Drosophila melanogaster: one gene and its partner. The protein of the gene in region 1 purifies or fractionates together with the protein of each later gene. This does not show direct contact. Each region holds a gene or a part of one and is shown on either strand. Other genes may lie near its edges. The genes, in order: JMJD7 and CG32450.

Region 1 (3,922 bases):
AGAAAAGCGCGCCTAACAGCAGCAACAGCAGTGGGCCAATGACGCCTCCCACCGGCCGCCGCAGCTCCCCTCGACGCCCCACCCACTCGGGGGCGATCGCAATTTGACAGTGCTTATGACGGCGCAGCCTCTGTCGCCACAAAGAAGTACGCGCTGGCATGCAGCGAATGCAAGTGCGAGTGCAACTGCGAGTGCAGCGCCACGCGACTGACTCATTTCGGGGCTTGCCATGCAGCAGCAACAACTGTGCGAAATTTAAATAAATTGTGGAAAAATGCATTGCTCTGTGCGAGTTTGGCATTGTTTCCCCAACTGGCTTTTCGGCTTTCGGGTTTCGGTTCACACACCAATTGTTGTTGCTGCCCCTCATTTTTTTTTTATGACGCTTATCAGTTTTCAGTTTCGCAGGCCGAATTTATGTAAATCTTACAGCCAGTGATGGTATTTTAATTGCGTAAGAACTGTCATACGCACTGTTGGCGTTTGTTGATTTTGATTCTCTTTTTTTGGAGGGTATATGCGCTGCAGTCTATGGTTTGTAATGCATTGAAGGGAACTTTCACCGGAAGTGTCTATTATAGCCTATATCAGTTAAATAGCTATCAACATAAGACTCTATCAATCACTTTGGTTTATTTTTAAGCAGATTAGATTTGAAAATTTGTCTGATTGGAACTGTGTGTTTAGAGTCACAGAGTCTGATTGGCAAATTAAGACATCAATTTATTTATTTAAGCATAATTTTTTATGTTTCAGTTAAGTTAAACATTCTTTAATCGTTAGGGTGTGTAAACTTCGACGTTTGCAAGTATTTGCTTCAAAAGAGCATCGTACTTACTCTTTCACAGCCGCTTCATTGGCGTCCGACTGCTAATTGGACTGCAATTGGATTTAGTAATTCCGAAGACCGATATTTATAGGCCACGGAGTTTGCGTTCTTTTTTGTTTGCGCCCAGCTTCGCGAAGCGTGGCTACCAAAAATAATTGTTAGCTCTATTAAGACCTATTGGCTGGGTAGATCCAATTCACGCGGCACTTGGAAAGTTTGGTCACGTTCTCCTGGCAAAATGAAACAAACGCAGTGCCGCTGCAAAACTAGATATTCTCCGTCATTTGCGATTCCTGCATTAATGAAGCACTCGCTGTGCGGCGCGCGAATGTGCGATAATTTATTAGTGCCACATTTGCGACACAGATTTCGATTTCGGACCGCCGCCGGTGGCCACCAAGTCAATTCAATTTCCTCACGCGCACACCGCCTGACCCCTTTTGGCCACAAATAATAATGCCGGGCCTATGTCAGTCTATAAGTCTATCAGCACCAAATTTCGCCAAATCCCGTGGCCCATCGACACGATCCATTTAGCCACCCATCCATCCATCCGTCATCCGCCACCTGTTGCTCGAATCGCACCAGCTGAACTTCGAATCCGCGCGAATGTCGGGCATGCAAAAGAGGTGACGACCCTGATCCTCCTCTGAGTCGCTGGTGAAATCAATTGTATTTCACAAAACAAATAGAGCACCGACCGTATTCGAAAACAATTTGTTTCTATCACAAACACTCGACACGCGTCGTCTTGTTTGCATTCCAGTCCGCTCCACTTCCTATCCGACTGTCCGCAGCTTCGCGCGCGTCTTGAAAGTCCCGCACTCGCAAACACACTCGCGTCCAGTGGGACCGCGCCGAAAGCGCTGGAAAATACCAAGCGACTTGCAAATAAATACCACAGTTCTCAACACCATTGCAGTTTCAGAAAATACCACTTATATTTCTATACCACCAAATTCAAATTAATTATTAAAAGCAAAATCAAAATCAAAATGCACGCTAGACAACCTCTATAAGATAGATAGTAAGATCTTTCTTTTCTTAGCATTTTTGCATTTCACCGACGCGAATTTGACCCTTATCGATTTTTTCGGAATACCTTGCTTACTTACTTTAAAAACGTAACAAAAATTACAATAATAAATGTTTCAATTTAATTTGTGTATAATATATTATTTATTTAATACGTCATTTGGTGAAACTAATTAAATTCACTGCAGCACTTCAGTTTAACTTTCACTGAAAACCAGAACCCCACATTACACTGCGCTGATAAGGTCCACTCTAGCGGAAAATGCGTTAGTGCGTGTTGTTTACCGGCATGTCCGAGGTCGAAAGAGCTCTGGATGTTCTGCTCCAGGAAGCGGAGGAGCTGTGCATCGGGAGCAGCGTAGTGGAGCTGGACAGGATTCCAACCGCCTTGGAGTTTTGTCGGGAATTCTACTCCAAAAACCAGCCGGTGGTCATTCGCAAGGCACTCAATTGGCCCGCGATTGGCAAATGGACGCCAAAGTACCTGATCGAGGCTCTCGGGGACAGGAGCGTGGATGTGGCAATCACCCCGAATGGCTATGCCGACGGCTTGGCCACTCAAAATGGACAGGAGTACTTCGTTTTGCCGCTGGAGACGAAAATGAAGCTGTCCGAGGTGGTCCGCCGCCTGGATGATCCCACTGGTGCTGTCCACTACATACAAAAGCAGAACTCTAACCTCAGTGTGGACCTACCGGAACTGGCTGCTGATCTGCGGGTCAGTGATCTCGACTTTGCGCAGCAGTCCTTTAACAAACCGCCTGATGCTGTTAACTTTTGGCTGGGCGACGAGCGCGCCGTTACCTCCATGCACAAGGATCCATACGAGAACGTGTACTGCGTGATATCCGGTCACAAGGACTTCGTTCTCATCCCGCCGCACCAGCTTAGCTGCGTACCGCGAGGAATTTACCCTACAGGCGTTTACAAGACCTCAGATAGTGGTCAGTTCTACATTGAACCGTTGAGGGATGAGGAAGGCAGCGATCAGTTCACAGAATGGGTCAGCGTTGATCCCTTGTCACCCGACCTGGCCAAATATCCGGAGTACGCCCGGGCCAAGCCTCTGAAAGTACGTGTTCACGCGGGAGACATCCTATACCTGCCCAACTACTGGTTCCACCATGTGTCCCAAAGCCACAAGTGCATCGCCGTGAACTTCTGGTACGATCTGGACTACGATAGCCGGTACTGCTACTACCGCATGCTGGAGCAGATGACGTCCGCAAGGAGTGGCTAATAGAATCCGGAGAAGTATTTATTCTCAGGGATTGTTAGGTGAATTCAAAACCCTTCTTGTTTTCAGTGTATTTATATATATTATTGTTACATAATTTAGTGTTAAATAAAAAACTGATACCCAAAATGAGTTGCGAACTACGACTAAGGACACGACCATAAAAGATTTATCTTTTCCGAAATTCGTAAATGAAATATGAAATATCCGTACAGATGATGACTTCTTAAATAAGGAATGTTTGCTTTGTTGGGTTATTCTCTAGTCTATTCGAGACTGACGTCCTGTTTTTCTGCGCCGGAAGGCTCCGCTGCAGCCTGTCCATCTGCCTCCTCGTCGGGATTTTCGTTGTTCTCGCACTCCAGTTCGCCATTTCCCGCGGAGGAGACGTTCTTTTGGTCCGCCTCGGCCAAGTCTGCATCGTTATTCGAGTCCTGCGACTGGGATTGGGACTGTTTGCGCACACGCTGGTTCTTCAGCTTGGCCGGACTGGCTCCAGAAGGTGTCACCTTCGACTTGGTCTTGCAGCTATCCTGCGGCTGTTCCACCACAAACAGCTGCTCCAAATAAGAACGGTACCAAAGCAGGAACTCGTCCCGCTGTCGTGGTATGTCCATCTTCTTGATCTTGGCATATATGCGTTTGGGCGAAATTAGTGGCGAGCTGGCGGTCGAATTCTGGGCAGCAGTGGCCGTCAGCTTTGATACCTCTGCCAGTAGGGAGTCATTGATGACGGTGTTGTTGTGCGTCTGATTGCGAATGCGTTTGATAATGTACTCGATTAGTTCGTGATCCGGTGCCAGTTCTATGCTGGTCCCTGG
Region 2 (3,347 bases), 8.9 Mb from region 1:
TGTTGTTGTTGTTGTTGTTGTTGTTGTTGTTGTTGGTATTATTGTTGCTGGGGGTCCAGAGCAAGGATTATAAATTATAACAGCCTCACACGGTTATTTATGTCATGTCAATGGGAAGGGGTGTCACACGGAAGGGGATATATCATCAATGCATGCGCTTAGTTGAGTGGAAATAGCTGCGAAATAAAACTATGCATTCGGGACTGGCTTTAAAGTGGAGCAGGCCGAGATGAAAGGGACTTAAATCGCAGCCAGCCCCAGGATCCCATCGCACCGCACCACAGCGCAGCGCGCTAAGCCAGAGATCTGCTTTGAAGCTTTTGATTTATTTGCTTGATGGCAAATCATTAATTTGCTTTGAGCCAGAGCAAAAAGAAAGCACGAAGCTTAGCATGCTTTTCAGCTGCTGTCAGATTTTCGGGCGACAAACAACCACCGCACGAGCAAAAAGGCAGCCGAAAGAAGCAAATTTAAATAAAACGCAAACCAACAAAATAATCCGACACATGCGCTGCCAAATGATTACCCAGGACTTGGCCCCAAAACCCCCACCTAATCCTATGTGCAATGTCTTTCCCTTCGCTCTGCGGGGTTCAGTGTGTTTTTGCAACATAAAAAACCAAACAATCACTTCATTTTATTGCGCCAAACGAGAAAGCCCAAAGCTGACACTTTTCCAGTCGCAAAAAAGGTCTCAATCATTAAACGGAATTGAAGGATCATATCGATTTTGTTGCTTAGAAGGGTACAAAGCCTGGTTGGATTCGAGAAGGTACTTTCCTCGATTCTCGATTTTAAGATCCCCAGTCATATCCGAGTGGGGATCCAACTGAGTGTTGATTTAATTAATCATCGGATCTATCGGTTTTGCGCAGCCAGTGGGCATTGCTGCTTTCACATCTCTTTGCTTTTGGTTCGGATGGATCAGTGGTTAATAGGAGGGGGTCAGAAATGTCCTTTCGCTTCCAGATTCCCTGCTTGTATTCCGGACCGTACTTGTCTTTCATACGCTGTTCAAGCTCGTACAATTTTAATGGTGTCCGTTTAGCCACTGTATGCTGCTCGAGGTCAGACTTGGTCAGAGGTCAGGGGCTATAGGTCCACGCACAAAACTTACCATACTCCGCACATATTTGTACACCCCATAGCCGATGCAGGCCAGAATTAAGGGAACTACCACAAACAGCCCCACGTTTAAACTATTCAGCTCGGGATCGCTGACCACGTGGGTGACATCGACGGTTTCCAGGGCAAAGGGTGGGTAAAAGAAGCGAATGATCTTATAAGTGGCATTGGCCAAAGTATGTTTTGGAAAAGGCTTCACGATGTCCACAAACCTCAACGACCAGTGCGAGTCCGGCGGCGGTACCGTTATATCCATATTTTTAAAAAAATGTATATAGAGAATGTTAAACCAAAAAAAACAGCAACGTCGAATTTTAGATTGTTCTAAAGCGACTTCTACTTGGTACTGGACAAGCAGCACTCTAAAAATGACTGATCCATCAAGGGCAACTCAATTAGGCCCGGTATTCGTGAAAACCCTTTAGCCAGACATAAATCATCGCCTACTTGGGAGCCCCGGAATGGCGTCATTGATTTATTAGCAGGACATACGCTCGAATCGATGCTGCTGGTGAAAAACTAGCGACAGAAGTGGCGGTGGAAAATGAAGCTAAAGTGGGAGCTGAGCAAAACCAGCCAAACCATCATCAGTCACCAGGCAAACAAACACGACGAGGACCCAAAGCGCAACGGCGTCATATACAAAAAGTGCTTGCATACATTACCCCGGAACCCATGAGCCGGAATAGATGTGGGGCGAAGGACCAGGGTCGCAGGACACGGTGTGCGCGGCAGAGGAAAGGACGCGTGCTTACTGCCAGAAACACGTACAAGAAATCATGAAATGTTGCCGCCATCATACCGAAAATTGTACGGGTAACGTGCAAGCAATCAAAGTACATGGAGGCAGGACTAGGCAGGACTCGACTCGAATCGACTGCGGCAACTAGAGCGCCTCGACATTGCCAAGGCCTGTGTGCTCCTCGAGCAGCGCCCACACGTCTGATTTTTACTACACACGTGTGCTGATGTGACGTCGACAGGATTGTGACTGCCTACTGACAACACTAGTGGGCCTTCTCCTTCTTTTGGCCTTCTGGGTCCTAGACTCCAACTGAGCATCTGGTTCAGACCAAGACCGAAACCGAAACCAGTCTGGCCGAAATGTAAAGTATAGTTGACGCAGACGTGCCAAGCTCGACGTGGCTGTCGTAGATGCTGCTTTTTGCTGTTTAAGTAAGCATGCAAATGTCACATGTAGACGGTAGTCGGTACTCGGTAGTTGGCGGTATCGGCAGGAGGGGATCAAGGGGAAGTGGGCGTGATAAGCACTCTCAGTTATGAAGGTGGGCATTGCTTGGTTTTCGGGCTCGCCGTTTCTTGCCCCTGCCACACATAAATGATGAGGTACACGTTGCCTCAGGCTGAATTTAGTGATTTCCCCGAGCATGTGGCATACTTTTTATGCGGCTCCTCCACGTGAGCATAAGGAGCTTCGGTTTATGGTTATTGATTCAGCCGAGCGGAGGTGGAGATAGTTTGAGTTATGGCCTCGGTCTGATTTGTGTCAGCAGGAAGTTTAAAAGAAATTGTTGCGCACTTTCGGGAGGCCAAAAGTGGATTACTCAGAGGGTTGCAGGCAGGTCCCCTGATTGAATTGGCTTAGCTGGGGGCGTACGGAACGAGATTGGATTGGATGGGGATGGGGACTTGCAATCAAAAGCCTAGTTTGTTGCTGCCTTCGCCAACCTCATCGTATTGGCAAAAGGTGGCAACCCTCGATCCACTCATTGTTCGATCAAAAATTCATGGCATACCCGTACGTTGGAGAGGTGCCAATAACTCGGCTGCTCCACTGACAATCGCCACTGTCTGTCTGCCCGTACGCAATTTACAATTACCGCACGCACACACAATTTATTTTGCAGCGCTAACAAATAAGCTAAACATTTTCGTGGCCAAGGGCCGTCCCGCTCCCAGGTGTATAGCAAATCAAAAAATCAGACAGGGCTGGGCACGAAGACACGCCAGGCAATCAGTTAAATGTTTGTTGAACTCACCAGCGTCGAGGTCCTTAAGTTCTCAAGAACGCACGACTCGCCGGTTTCGAGGAGTCCCAGGGGCTTCGCTTCTCCGCTCTCGATGCGCTCCTGCCCTTTTCCGAAAATTGAACTTGTTGGCGCCCAGAACGCAGAGCCCCGAAACCGCACCGAACAAAAAAGACGGAGAAGCAGCTCCGCAGAACGATGAAGCGGCAACTTGAAAAATCGCTTGTCGCACTG

What was found.
Region 2: the proteins of JMJD7 (region 1) and CG32450 purify together in Drosophila melanogaster (affinity purification with mass spectrometry, with the first as the bait; one large-scale study listed by BioGRID). This does not show direct contact.

What each region holds. Positions count from the first base shown.
Region 1 is NT_037436.4:13,448,491-13,452,412, reverse strand, and holds JMJD7 (jumonji domain containing 7), read left to right. Parts: upstream 1-2,129; 5' UTR 2,130-2,153; coding exon 2,154-3,104; 3' UTR 3,105-3,226; downstream 3,227-3,922. Other genes in the region: cmb (combover), read right to left, coding at 3,368-3,922. UniProt on the Drosophila melanogaster protein: Bifunctional enzyme that acts both as an endopeptidase and 2-oxoglutarate-dependent monooxygenase.
Region 2 is NT_037436.4:22,327,928-22,331,274, reverse strand, and holds CG32450 (uncharacterized protein), read right to left. Parts: upstream 1,498-3,347; 5' UTR 1,382-1,497; coding exon 1,118-1,381; intron 1,059-1,117; coding exon 846-1,058; 3' UTR 618-845; downstream 1-617.